Linked DNA regions of Arabidopsis thaliana. The protein of the gene in region 3 interacts with the protein of the main gene of each other region in a pairwise test. Each region holds a gene or a part of one and is shown on either strand. Other genes may lie near its edges.

Region 1 (5,020 bases), on a different chromosome or scaffold from region 3:
TCATTTCCCATTTCGAATATAAACGCAATAGAATTCGACCTAACATGGGTTGATCAAAAAGTAGAAATGCGACTATAATAAATAATTTAGAGCAAACATATTTTTATTAGTTGTTGGAAATTAAATGTAAATGGACGCTCTAAAGTAAGAAAAAGGTGAAGTGTACTTATTCAAGAATGAAAGACAAAAGCATGTGAGTAGAGGAACTCTTAAGTAAATCACTTCAAGGCTAAAAAAACCCTTAAACTCCCAAAGATGACCACCACTCTCACTCACACTTCAATTTATGTTCTCTCTTCTCATTTAATATCAAAGAGACCAAAGCATGTGTATCTTCATTTTTGTCGTCCTTTCTTGACATTTCCTCAACTACTAACTAACTATTCTTTTACTCCTTTAGCAAATCCCCCATTCATCACAAACTCTTCCAAACTATTGCTTTCATTGATAAAAATACATGGAATTGCTAAAATGGCAAAATCCCTCATTGATGCTAAGGTTTTACCAATAATGGAATCTCACGGAATCACGATTTATATTCCCCTTTTTTGTAAATTATATTCTTCATTTCATTTTTGTGCAATGCTTACCATTCATAATAATACAACCAAACAACCAACCTTCTGTAGGAGGAATTGAAAATCGTTTTGGTTTTTCTTATTGGCACATGTATGAAGTGATCAACATACACCCTCAAAACTAACTAACAATCTAAAACCATTCACTCCCGCTAACATAATATAAACAAAAGACTATATAACAACTTTGAAGCTTTCCTCTTTACCTTTGGGAACTCTCTATTGCCATGTAACTTCCCTGGAAGTCTCACCGCCGCTATCATCAGTCATATCTGATCTTGTATAGCTGATTCCTGCTCCTTGAAGGTAATGGTTACTATCCTGTTCTATGGCATTGTAATGACTGTTGTTACCATTGTCTGGAACAAGGTTTTGTGATGCAAGGTTAACGTTTTGATTCGAAGAAGATACGCCAACCATTTGCTGACGTTCGGCAAGAACAGCAATTGCACAAGCTAGCCCACCTGATGGAGATGATGATGACGGAGTTGATGGTTCCTCATTACGATCTTTTTCTGAAATATCATCAGGTGATGTGTTTCTCTGAATTCCTGGTTCCTGTTAAAGAAAGAAAATAGTTAGGCTTATCTTATTCAGATAAATGCTATATACTTCAAAGTTTACTAACCAAACAAATTACCTGCATCGAAAGCCATATTGCTTCCATGACCATTATATCTTCAAGATCAAAGTCAAACTGACCGTCCCTGAAGAGTTTTCCAGATAACCACATATCAGTCACCTGATATGAACCACTCAGATTCAAAGTTCCAACACGTATTACCGTTGTGCATATAACTTTAGCCAGAAAGGAATGATCTGAAAATGTAATACCATAACTGACTAATAAGAGACAATTTAAGAAGGGGTTCATTTTTAAGTTTTAACTGTAACGGTTCTCGAAGCATCAAAGTTTCTCAAGAGATAGGACTAATACAAATGAAATTTAACAGCTAAATAGAGAAAAAGGCTGTTCATACAACCCCATGGCATGGATACTCATAAAAGTCATTTAGGTCCATTTCTAGGAAAATGACAAACCTTGTAACCTGAGGGTGGTGAGATGGAAGACATGATTCTTGAGATGAAACAATTTCCTCATCATCCTCTGCGTAAAAGCTACTGATTGAGATTGCGAACCAAGAATAACAAAAGTGGTAAAATTTAACACATGTTGAAAGTTGAAACCGAGAGAAGAACTAACCTGCAGCAGAACCATACTCTGTATCAAGAGTCGCTGCACTAGTGCTAGAACTAGAAGAATATGACTCCAGACGTTTCTGCATTCTTTCTTCATCATCTTCAACTTCCTTCTGCCTCATCCTTATTTTGGCTTCTATAACTCGCTGCTCTTCCTTCATAACACAGAGATAACAATATTGGCAGAATCAGCCAGTAATTCCATCACATACTCTTAAAAACAATACTGTTTCAAGATTTAAGTCTGGCTTACAATTTGTTCAAAGCTCTTCTCCTCTTTAGTTTTCCCTCCACGATACTCGACAGCATAATTGGATGTTTTGCAAAAAGGGCATCTTACATATGATAAGGAGGACTCAAAAGTAGACATTTTCATATGTAAAGAAGACCAAAAGCTTAATGCAAACTATAAGAAAAAGGATACTGAGTAGGTTGAGCTGAATTAGGACTCTTCATCCGCAGAAAGCATTCTGTATAAAACCAAACACAAAGTCAATGACTACACCGGATAAGAAACATTCTATAGTTCAGAGATGACTAACAAATACATTTCTTCACCTGTACAAATGCTTTTCATACAACATCTTGACCTATTAAGACTCGGATAATACTAGAAACACAGAAGAACAAAAAATTGCATGAGAGTTGGTCAATTTCATCTTCTTGAATGAGGAAGTAAGCAAAAAAGGAAAGACTTAAAACAAACCAGAAAGCAAATAGGACATTCTTCAAGATCATGATGGGAGGAGGGGGTTTCTTCAAGACCAGGATAACAAGGAGCAAGCTTAGACTCTAAGATGAGTTTCTTAAGCTTTTTAATGTCAACATCTTTGCTCATGTATAAACCTTGTTGTGGCTTTGTGTATCTTTCGTCCACAATCTGTCTCTTCCTTCCCAGCTTATTACCCATTTCGTCTCTTTAAATGCCTTGAAATTAAGATAGTAGAGAGACATAATAAGAACACTCAAATAGAAATCAATTTCACTTTCTACAATTCACAAAACGCAATAAAGAGCTTGTAGCAATCCAAAGCCATTTCCTTTTTTCCGAAACTAACAAACAAAGTTTAAAACCCTAAATTCCAACCGTTGATAAGAATTGAAGCAACAAATCTTTTCAAACAGAAGAAAATTTGCAAACCCTTTGAATATAAATGAGTAATAAAGTTTGAGTCAGAGAAGAAACCTTAAAAGCTTCGAGAATCGAAGAGACTTAGATAACGAATGATAAGAGAATACAAAGATCAGAACTTTTCCTTTGCGAAAGAGATATACAGTAATGTTGTCGTCGTGAAGAAGAAAGATCCGATGAAGAACGAAGAACGAAACGGTGGAGTTAGTCGGATACGAAAGAAATGAATCGTCGTCATCTCTTTTGTTTTCACTCTTCCTCTTCTTTATCGTCACGCGCCCCTCTCGCGCGTTAACTTTCTCCACGCTTCTTCTTTTTTTTTTTGTTCCTTCTGATATTTTGTCGTAAAATCTGATAGACTATTATTGTTGCAAATATTTATTTCAAAAAATAATATAAGGGTCGAAAAAAAACTTTCAAAAAAAATAAACAAACTATGCTACTAATGATTTTATTGATTGTCTTTTTTAAAAAAGTGAAAGATAATCTACATATACATTTTTGCAGCCACTTTGTGAAATAAATTTTCAAGTTGAGACTTATTTACAGTGGCTACCACTGGCATTTAATAATTGTTTTTGATAATTAGAAAGTAAATCTTCGAATTAAATGTTTGCATTTAACTACCTTTCTAAAATCTCTCTGCATTAACTATACCATTAATTACTAAAATAAAATTTCCAAAATATTTAATATCATTTAAATACTACAAAATTATCATTTTTGATATTGCTTTTTTTATGACTATAACAATTCGATTATAAGCAGCAAACCGTAAAGATATTTGATAGCAATTAATTACTACAAAATTACAAAATATTTAGACAATGATTCATAAACATATCATAAATAAGATCAACATTAATAAAATAAATAGTTTTTTTTACGAGACGGGTTGGCGGGACGGGTTTGGCAGGAAGCTACTTAATAACAATTGTAAACTATAAAATAAAAATATTTTATAGATAGATAAAATTTGTAAACTTTTATATATACTAACTTTAAGGAAATAAATTGTCTCCGCGGTATACCGCAGGTTAAAATCTAGTATAATACATTAATGCATTAAGCAAAAAAAAAGAAGTTCACCTTCTAAGGAACATTCGTGTTTCACATAGGCTTGAGATAATAATATTAAACCCAATGGGCCTTAATATTGTGGGAAAAAAAAGAACGAATTATTAGTCTAGTCAATGGTCTGACCAAAGATTATACAATTCGCCGACCGGAGGCATCTCTCTGAAAAAACTATCGAACTCCGTCGTCTCTACACCTCTTTCTGCTTCTTTTCCTACGCCACAAAACCGCTGTGATGAATCTTTGCCACCGTACCCTTGACCGGAGAATTCATAAGGACCGTCGGCGACGACTGCGTTTTTACCTGTGAGTTCTTGAACAATTGTCTTGAAGCTCCGAGCATCTGTCTGAACGTACTGTGTGTTAATGAAGACAACCTTCATCGGTTCAGATCTCACTCCTGCAGACATATTTTTGGCGTTATATGAGATTTTTTCTTTTGGTTTGCTCTATTGAGTAGTATGCCTTTTGAATCTCCCCGATATTGGTTGTATTTATATGTGTAGATAAATATATGGGAATATATATAATATTTGTGGGGAGACCGAACTTTTATCATTTTATTGATTTTTAGTTATTGTTTAGAAACATTTATTATCATGGGGACTCCTAATTAGTATTATGAACTATATGGATAAGAGAGCAGATTCTTTTATTGATATAGCATTTATATTCTATATCCATAGTTGTGGATTGGAAAAGAATATTATTATATAGATCGAATGATATTTTGATTCTAGAAATTGCTTACGTGTGGAGTTACGATCATATGCTTTCATGACTAATGACTAATTATATACTGATTAGATATCAGGGAGTGGCTCAAATTTTCCACTATTTAAAGAAATTAGAATCAACTAATCAAACGTTTTTTACCAAAAAAAAAACTAATCAAACGTTGCATATAATAAAATCTATTTTAGAGTTTTTGTAACGACGGGGTCAACTGAAACTGGAGATTGTCACTTATTTCAAGAATTTCTATACACATGTGGGGTTTATTTTTTGCAACGTTTCACCAATATTTTTCATT
Region 2 (4,499 bases), 190 kb from region 3:
TTGATCGGAGATGAAGACGAGGGCGAATATAAGTTCAACAACGACGGAGACGAAGCGAAAACCTCAGAGCGAATCCTAGGCAAGTAAACGATCGGTTTTGTTTCTTCTTCCATCGGTAAACCTCTCATCGGCGATGGTCGCCGCAAGTGATTACTCTGTCCGTCGCGGTGGCGATTAAGACTCGGCTCTGAGAAGCTTCTCTCGAAAACCTTATTACTCGATTTAGAGCGATTATTCTTGTCGGAAACATATCTGAAAGCTGTTCGTCTTGTTCTGGAGCTCCGACCTCCATTTCCTACAGGATTCGAAACTTTTCTCCGGTGAATCGAATCAGACATTTCGTGAATGATGATCTTTGCTTAAGGAGGAGGAAGAAGAAAAAACAATTGAGAGGTTTTGGTGGTTTGCTTGGCAAAGAAGCGAATTAAGAGTTATTCTCTGCTTTTGCTTTGCTTTACTCTTTTATTATCTTCTTTTCTTTCATTTGTATTTTTCAAATGTTTTTCCAAATCAAATTGTTTTTTTTTTTCTTTTTAACATAAGTGTGGATTTTAACATTTAAATTCAAACCGACCAAAAAAAATACACGATTAAAGGTAGTAATATAGACGTGGTTCTTGTAATATAGTATTTATATTTCCTGTCGACGATCGATTCTTTTATAGTATGATATCTTGTGCTGATTCTTACGTACTTGTGTTTATTATAGTAAAATAGAAATGCGTTGAATTGTAGCACTGTATTAGATTAAAACTTCTATGTAATTATGGAGCTAAAATGTTTTCTGGTTAGCATACGGAGTATTTTTTAAAAAATCTATCCTTATTATGGATAAAATGTGTTGGAAAAAGGCAATAATATACTTGTACAAATGAATATAAATTTCTTGATGCATTGTTTTAGAAGATTACTTGGGAGACTCACAATCCTATAAAGTGTAAAGGAAACAAAACTATTGGATTTGTAGAAAAGTTGACACGTTAAACAAGAAAACGAGAAACCCAAACAAGTTTCGTAAAACACAAAAAATCTAAGGTGATAGTGAGAAGCACATAAACAAATGAAAAAAAACACATAAACAATTAGAGAGGAGGGAGACTCAACTAGTATCATCAATTCATTAAATTTTACGAAAGTGCTGAGTAATGGAAGTAATATAAAAAATTTATAACCAAAAACAAGAATTCATCAACGTCAAGAAAAAACAACATAAAATAAAAAGGAGAATTTGTGTGGCTGAGATTGGTCCGAGGTTTGTTTCCACTGTTAAAAGAAAGAACTTTTGGGCTTGATTTAAAGTCATTAATGGTGTGGTCGACTTCTCTTATGCCATACGCACTCATGTTCACGCGTAACGCACTTGTTTTCCACCAAGTATTTAACAACGATCGTTTGTGACCCTTTTTTATGTATACTTGAAACTTAAAAAATATGTATTATTACATTTAAATATCATTTATTGTCATGACGAAAAAATTGTAAGACTTTATAATTTCAAATGTAACGTCACTTTTCGTGATGATGTAATACCATTCTATTACTTAAATACAATTGGCCAACAGCCTCAATTTATTTCAACCTTTTGCTATCTCTATAGTATAATGGTGTCATAAAAATTCATAGACACATTCCACAAAACTCGTGTATGTATATCCGTGTCTTTATATATATGTGTATATCCAAGTGTATAATAAAGTTTTTTTTCTTAAAAAAAAAAACAGAAATTTGTATGCACCATTTAAACAATTAAAGAAAGAAAATTGGGCCTACTCCAAACACAACGCTACTGTGGAGTACATTTTATCCATTTTAATGGCCCAATAATTTATAATGGGCTTTTAGTATGGGCCATTTTGTCCCTCTTTTTTATGTTGTAAGCGAGATCTTGAGACAATGTTAGTAATTTTGGTTTAATCCGGTTCAACAAGTAAACATCACACTTGTAAACTAAACCGATAATGCCACGTCACTACTCCAAATATTCGCCAAATCATAACAGACAAAATCCAACAACAACGACGACACTCTCCTCTCTCACTCTCTCTCTCAATCTCAATCTCAATCTCACGTCAACGACCGTCGCCGTCACCGGAAGGAAACGATTTCATCATCTTCTACAATGATCCCATACGCAACAATCGAAGAAGCGTCGATCGCATTATCTCGAAACCTCACATGGCTAGAGACTCTCTGGTTCGATTACTCCGCCACCAAATCCGATTACTACCTCTACTGCCACAACATTCTCTTCCTCTTCCTCATCTTCTCTCTCGTTCCTCTCCCTCTCGTTTTCATCGAATCATCTCAATCCACCTCAGATTTGTTCAATCGCTACAAAATCCAACCAAAAGTGAAAAACTCATTCTCATCGATGTTCAAATGTTACAAAGACGTCATGAAGATGTTCATCCTCGTCGTTGGTCCATTACAACTCGTTTCTTATCCTTCGATTCAGGTTAATTTCTGGAATTTGGCTTCTAATTTCGGAATTGATGCGATTTAGGTTGATTTTGTTTTTCGTGTGTTGAAACAGATGATTGAGATACGAAGTGGATTACCATTACCATCATGTATGGAGATTGTAGCACAGTTAGTGGTTTACTTCTTGGTAGAGGATTATACTAATTACTGGGTTCATAGATTCTTTCATTGTAAATGGGGTTATGAGAAGTTTCATCATATTCATCATGAGTATACAGCTCCTATTGGTTATGCTGCTCCTTATGCTCATTGGGCTGAGGTTTTGCTTCTTGGCATTCCCACGTTTCTTGGACCTGCTATTGCTCCTGGTCATATGATTACCTTTTGGTTGTGGATTGCTTTACGACAGATTGAGGCTATCGAAACTCATAGCGGGTAAGGAAAAGGAATGGTTTTGAATTGTTTATCTTAGTTTATAATGCGTTGGGGCTATGTGGGAAGTTTCAATAGTGCGTTTACCTTTTGTTGGTGGGGCTAAGGTTAGGCACTAGCCTTTTCTGATGCTTTATTGACTGTAATTAGCTCTAGGTGATTGTTTAGAGACTGCTTAGTTAATCTTTTGTGGTCAACATGAGCAAGAAATCATTCTTGAGATGATAAGCATCTTGTCTTGTTCAAATAAGTATTTGGACAATATGATGATTGCTTGGTGCATGAAACTTGTTTCTCTGGAGATAAATTGACTTGTTTTTTTTATTTTTCGTTTTCTTTTGAAGATATGATTTCCCATGGTCTCTGACAAAGTACATTCCATTTTATGGTGGAGCTGAGTATCATGATTACCATCACTACGTTGGAGGACAAAGCCAGAGTAACTTTGCTTCAGTTTTTACTTACTGCGATTACATCTATGGAACTGATAAAGTGAGTAATGAAACTTCAGTTCTTTTCCGGTTAGCGTCTACTAATTCTGGATAAAAATTTGACAATGTGGGTATATGTTCTTATTTTCATCAGGGTTACCGATTCCAGAAGAAGCTTCTTCAGCAGGTAAATAAATACTCCATAAACTGAGACTAGCTTATCTCTCGGCATACCGCATACCCATAAACGCAGCCATCAAATTGCAAGCTCACATAACAGTATATGTGGTATCTAGTATCATCATATTGATGATATGTTTCTTGATGCTATATCTTATGAGTTGCAGATGAAGGAGAAGTCCAAGAAGAGCAACAAGCTGGTTAATGGAGGAGAGAAATTCGATTAGTAAATCTAAAACCCCTCGCGAGGTTGACTTACCGTAAGTTTCAAGCATTCTACAAATGTAGTCAATACTTAAAAATGAAAGGGTAGTTAGTTTTCTCTGTTCTGGTCTTCCCTGTGTCACATGAAAATGCTCGTGACGAGTTCCTATCTGAAGTTTTTTTTAAAACTCTTTTGGAATTGGTGTGTGTCAATAAATCCTTTTTGTATATTTTAAATGTTACATAGTGCATTCATTGGCTTGTAACAAGTTCCTACTCTGATAGTATTAAGTTAAGTTAAGTATAACTTAAGTATCTAACGTTAACAACAAGGCCCGTCTAGCTCAGTTGGTAGAGCGCAAGGCTCTTAACCTTGTGGTCGTGGGTTCGAGCCCCACGGTGGGCGTTTCTTTTCCTTTTTGTTGCATTTGAGTGGCATGATTTAAAAGGAAAATCCTTACCATAACGATAGTTGCATTGATGATGGGGGTCGATTTCACTCTCGGAAAACAAATCTAATCAAAGAAGGCTAAAACAAGCGAAACACATGCATTTACTAAAGCTGTCTCACCAAACTTGAAAACAACAGTTTTAAGTACAGTAGTAGGTACAATAACTTATTTAGTTGTTACCAACTAATTTATGACTTTAAAATCGAAACACTCTCTTCCTTCCTGTGTTTTTTCAACTAAACCTAACAACACACAGTTTTTCTTTAACACACATTTCCTTGTTCTCGTTGTCTTAGAATTACCATGGACACAGTGAATATGATAATAACTTCAAGAATGGGGTTGTAGCTGTGTGAGGCTATATTTTTTTTTTTGGTTT
Region 3 (5,346 bases):
TAATATCTCGTTTTGGAATTTTTGTGACCAAGTCTCTCTTATTGGATGACCTGTCCTTGTTTGATGAATGTAAACATAATGAAAAACAAAACTGAAAACAATGGAGTATGAAATGAGAATTAATTCAATGAAGCCGAGTTAATATGCATACGAGCTCCAAGTGTACTGAAATATGAAGTTGATTTTTGACAAGTTTTTTTTTTATTATGGGTCAGGTATCATTATTTGACCAATTACTAATTAAATCGATCCAGTATCTAGAATCCAGTATCTAGAATCTTGTATATAGCGTCTTCAAGTCCTCTAGAGAATTATGTGGGATAAATATCTACAAGTGTATATTATTAGTCCCAAGCCTCATCCTAAAACAGAGTCGAGAAAAAACAGAGGATGGGCAGAGGTTGATTCAAAACAGAGAAGGAACCGTCAACTAAATAGCTTACTTCCATACCAAGTAAACTTTTAATATCAGTCCACAGACCACAGTGTAGTGGAAGAGAGCTGGTATAAGCATCAAAGTGATTGAAGGCAATGTTTGAGAAACCATCTAAACGGATTTTATAACAAAGAGCTCGTATAAAAATGTAGGGAATAGAAAATTCTAAGTGTACATAACTACTTTGATGAGTATCTCACAATTTACACATACATAACTTTATGAATAATTCATAACAGTTTAAACTGAAATACCAAAAACATAGTTTACTTCAAACAAGTTCCAATGTCTCAATGGAACATCATTTTCAACAAGGACCACCTTCCATCATTGATATTTTGGGAACTGGGCCTCGTCGTAGATTGGTTTGGTCTACCTGGAATGAAGGATGGAGGTGGTTTAGGAACAGGTAAGATGAGGGAATTGCTAGTGAGCATCGACATGATTATCGAAAAGTCAGGACGATCTGTAGGTTCTTCTTGAACACATAGGAGCGCAATGTGGATACATCTTATCACTTCTTCACTCTTATAATTCTCTGCAATTGTTGCGTCAACGAGGTTTAATGGTGTCCCGCTTTTCCATAACCTCCAGACCTGAAACAAAATTCAATGATCTAATCCAAATCTTACAGTTACAACAACAGTGAGATACGATTATAGTACTCACATATGTGACAAAATTCTGAACCGGAGATGAGAAGCTCGTGTTCCTCTTGCCGCATATAATCTCAAGAACTAAGACCCCATAGCTATACACGTCAGATTTCATCGAGAATTCGCCTAGTTCCATATATTCTGGGGCCATGTAACCGCTACAAGATTAATTCTACTTTGGTCAAGAAAATATTCTTGCAATTAAAGTTCATAACCATCATGAGTAATATATAAGAGAATTTTACGGAGTTCCGGCTGCATTCGCTGTAATAGCTACACTTTGGTCCATCCCAAAGATCCTTGCCGTCCCAAAATCTGCAACTTTCGGGTTCATATGAGCGTCCAAGAGGATATTACCCGCTTTGAGGTCACGATGTATGATTGTGGGTTGTGAATCTTGATGAAGATATAGAATCCCTCTAGCAGTTCCTCCAATGATCTTGTACCGCTTTTTCCAGTCTAACTCTCCTTGCTTTGTAGGGTCTGCACAAATTAGGATATGAGATCAAGAAGTAGTGTTTCAGAGAATATAACCCTATTATTTGTATCTTTTCTTACCAAAGAGGATGTAGTCGAGACTTCTGTTGGGCAAATACTCGTAGACTATGATCTTTTCTTCTCCTTTGACAGAAAAACCGAGAAGTCTAACAAGATTTCTATGCTGAAGTTTCGCGACAAGAACAACCTCGTTCTTGAACTCTTTCTTACTTTGTTCTGTTTTTTCTGACAATCTCTTCACTGCAATTTCCTTTCCGTCAGGCAACCTTCCCTAAAGATGAGACAGTATGGTTAGCTTACTTTGACTCTGTAGTTTTAAGTTTTTTCAAGAGAAGTAATGAAACAAGTAGCTAAAGAAATGATACCTTGAAAACATGTCCAGATCCACCATGACCAAGTCTCTCTGAAAAATTATTTGTTGCAGTTTCGATCGTCTTAAATTTGTATTGCAGGGAGCGTACAGATGTAATACCAGCTACAATGTTAATAAATGATCTAATTAGTTCCATAGACAATATATTTGGTAAAAGCTTAGAGGCCAAATAAAACAAATGAACAACACTCACTTTGATTAAGTTCAACTTCTTGATATGGTTTTTCCTTCCGAGCAAACCGGCGAGCAAGAATTCCCGAGATGATGATGAGGATGACTATACCAACCACAACAATTGCTAGAATAGTTTTCATTGAGATTTTTCCGCTACCTGTAGAATGAAAAAAAAAACCTTATAAGTCTTTGGACAGAGTCTTGTGACTGTAACTTTAAGTCATAAGTTTGCAAGGACTTACTATTGTCTCTCTTCTTGTCCCGGTTGTCTGCAGAAGGTGGTTGTGACGCAACCACAGGACGTTGCAGTGGAGGAGGAGAAAGAGGAGGAGTAGTAGCCAAGGTAATGTTATGAAAAGCCTTAGAGAATGTAAAAAGCTGCCACCGGAAAAAGCAGATTGGCCGCATAACATAGCCTCCAGTATTATTTCCACAGCATGACTGGTACTCAAGTACGCCTCGTTGGAGACAGTTGTTACATTCGTCAGAAGAAATATCTGGCGTGCATTGCATCAATGCGTAGATATTCTGGAATTTTGTCAAGTTCGCAAAATCAACTCTGTAATGGTTATCACTGGACGATGGTGTGCTTCTTGCTGCGGAGGCTGCAGTAATCGTACGAGATGTTAAGTCTTCCCATATTGTCTTGAACTCTGTTAGATTTGAGGCGATAGTTGCAGTGTTCAACACCAAATACTGCGGCTCAATCTCCCAAAAAGCTGCAGATCCTGAGAAAGAAATGTTGGAGTAGCGGACAAGGCACAGCGTTGGATCAAGTGCCCAATAGTACGCGTCTGTCTGGTTGACACAATCCTGTATCAACCAGCCTGCCGCGCCCTTGATACAGTTAGAACAATCACTTGGAGTTGATTTCGGGATGCACATCCCTAATGCGTAGACTCGATCTTGCTCTTCTCCAATGGAACCGTAGTAGAAACCATCTCGAGACGCGGTATTGTTAGGAAGAGAAGAGAGGATAAGACGACGATTTGAATCGTATGTACCGTTGGGTGTGAAATATTTACGGTTCTCTATGCATGTTTGTGCTGAAACAGAAGCAACACCAGAGGCTAGAAGGATAAAACAGAGGATTGATAATAAACTCCTCTGCTTCATTTTTTGCCTTAGAGATTATAGCTTTGTTTTAGTGTTTAAACATCTGTTCGTTCCTTAGCAATTTAAACAGCAATTGTTGTTTCTCAGAAACTTTCTAAATGTCACAAAACAAAAGATGAAAATCAAAAGTCTTATTTCATTTTTTTCTGTTCATACAGTATTATTATGTTTAAATCCTTTCAAATAATAATGTAGATATGTACTAGGTCAGGAGGCTGGGGTCGAGGTACCATTAACATTTAACACTCATCCACGGCCAAATTACGTAGCTTTTTCCTAACCAATTTCTTACCTTTAAAACCAAAACGCATTCAAAAGACGTCGCAATTGCCACGTAACAAACCCCTTAAAAAGCACCAGTCAGCCACCAGTTCCTGATGAGTCCTTACTCTTTCGTGAGCTCTAAGTTACCTTAGCTCCTATTATAACCTAGCGCACTATCTCCATTCGCTAATAAGACGTGAATAATGAACTATTCAGTTAATGATTTAGATATAATTAAGCGTTAATTCTTTAAAAGATTATCCCTAGTTTTTTTTTAATCGCTAATTCTTTGTCTTTTGTTTACGCGTTTTTTATAGCTTACTAAAAAAGAAATCGAGTTTCTCTGAAAATATCTAAATACTGAATTCGTCAAACTGATAACAGTGGTCCTTCAACCCTCCATGTTCGACATATACGGCGTGAAACGGACCCGCGACAAAAGTCAATGGTTTTGGGCTAGTGGAAAACGTTGAATTTCATCATCATTCCTAACCATATGTGTTAACCGTTGAACCCAAAAACTTCTAAGTCTCCTATCACCAAACCTGACGAAGCAAAGGCAGATGCAGAAGATCAGATGATCGTTGCAGAGGGCTATGTATTGTGTCATTGGTTTTGCAAATTAACCGGTTTTGTAGTATATCCTTCTTTCATTGGTTTTGCAAAAAAGATTCAGTTACTTGTGTAGCACGTTACCAGAGTGATGAACCTATCACATACTCCCATGTCAAACCAAACCCAAAAAAAAACTGAATTGTACACCATTTTATAGAACTACCAAGCATATCCTAGTCACACAAGATTGAAGAGATTATAGGGTTTATAGAAGCATCACCATGGCATACACTCAGATCATTTGGTAGTGATCACACAATATTGTACAGAAACATAAACGGCTCTTGAGATTACATAATTAAAATAAAATAAAAAGGCTTTGTATGTAGCGATCATGAACCGTGCTAGAAATAGCCCGGCTAGAATCGTACATGTGACGAGTACTTCGCACAAGCGGATCGAGGTTAAAGCACAAAACTCACCCCCCCTACCTGTCCATGCTCAGCACTGTCCCTTCCAATCTCGATATCCGGCTTGCCAACCTTTTACCGGAAAAGGAAGTTATGCGGTTCGGACAAAACCTTATATCATCAAACCATCCCCATTTTTAAGAAAACCTTTTTATAGATAGTATAAATATGTTACAAACACGCACAAAACGATCATATAACTCCAGCTATCATACGACTTGTCAAGTCGTCCCACAGGTTATCAAAGTTTTCGGATCCGATATCTCCAGTATTGTACATGCATATATACTTTGGTTCCATCTCAAGTGATCCAGAAAACGAACGGTTGGAGTAACGTACCATACAAAGAATCCCATTTTCGGGCCAGGCAATGCCTTCTGTCTGGTTGGTACATTCCTCTAACACCTCTTTAGAAGCAAGGTCGATACAGTTTGAGCAAACCTTTGGTTCAACAACTGAGATGAACATCCCCAAAGCATACACCCGATCATAGACTTGGCCAAGTGAATTACTGTAGAAGTCACCTCGAGCTACAACATGAGAAGCTAGAGAAGAGAGGAGAAGGCGACGGTTTGTATCATACTTATCATTGGGTGTAAAAACGCCAGTTTTCCCGCTTGGTACAAACACAACAGGAAAGCCTACAAGGAGAAAACAAAAGATTTTAAATATATTTTCAAGATCATATATTGTTCTGGTTTAGGACAGCAAGCAATTGTGTTTGCATTGTACATGCATATATTCACGTCCATTAAATTTCGATCGCAAGTTTTCATTGAACCGTTGGTCGCATGTTTCTCAGTC

What was found.
Region 1: the proteins of CRK13 (region 3) and AT1G17145 interact in a protein complementation assay, tested with the Arabidopsis thaliana proteins (one large-scale study listed by BioGRID).
Region 2: the proteins of CRK13 (region 3) and SMO1-2 interact in a protein complementation assay, tested with the Arabidopsis thaliana proteins (one large-scale study listed by BioGRID).

Annotation. Positions count from the first base shown.
Region 1 is NC_003070.9:5,859,554-5,864,573, forward strand, and holds AT1G17145 (RING/U-box superfamily protein), read right to left. Parts: upstream 3,338-5,020; 5' UTR 2,965-3,337; intron 2,706-2,964; 5' UTR 2,689-2,705; coding exon 2,485-2,688; intron 2,389-2,484; coding exon 2,337-2,388; intron 2,249-2,336; coding exon 2,203-2,248; intron 2,114-2,202; coding exon 2,032-2,113; intron 1,934-2,031; coding exon 1,783-1,933; intron 1,687-1,782; coding exon 1,620-1,686; intron 1,286-1,619; coding exon 1,219-1,285; intron 1,137-1,218; coding exon 798-1,136; 3' UTR 525-797; downstream 1-524. Other genes in the region: AT1G17147 (VQ motif-containing protein), read right to left, coding at 4,101-4,397.
Region 2 is NC_003075.7:11,954,316-11,958,814, reverse strand, and holds SMO1-2 (sterol C4-methyl oxidase 1-2), read left to right. Parts: upstream 1-1,896; 5' UTR 1,897-2,119; coding exon 2,120-2,455; intron 2,456-2,533; coding exon 2,534-2,856; intron 2,857-3,197; coding exon 3,198-3,345; intron 3,346-3,438; coding exon 3,439-3,471; intron 3,472-3,631; coding exon 3,632-3,691; 3' UTR 3,692-3,975; downstream 3,976-4,499. Other genes in the region: AT4G22758 (PPR containing protein), read right to left, coding at 1-338. UniProt on the Arabidopsis thaliana protein: Non-heme iron oxygenase involved in sterols biosynthesis by catalyzing the removal of the first methyl group at the C-4 position. 4,4-dimethyl-9-beta,19-cyclopropylsterols such as 24-methylenecycloartanol are the preferred substrates.
Region 3 is NC_003075.7:12,148,166-12,153,511, forward strand, and holds CRK13 (cysteine-rich RLK (RECEPTOR-like protein kinase) 13), read right to left. Parts: upstream 3,474-5,346; 5' UTR 3,254-3,473; coding exon 2,380-3,253; intron 2,295-2,379; coding exon 2,157-2,294; intron 2,066-2,156; coding exon 1,956-2,065; intron 1,862-1,955; coding exon 1,651-1,861; intron 1,576-1,650; coding exon 1,338-1,575; coding exon of another isoform or gene 1,334-1,337; exon of another isoform or gene 1,251-1,333; coding exon 1,106-1,250; coding exon of another isoform or gene 1,033-1,105; coding exon 727-1,032; 3' UTR 508-726; downstream 1-507.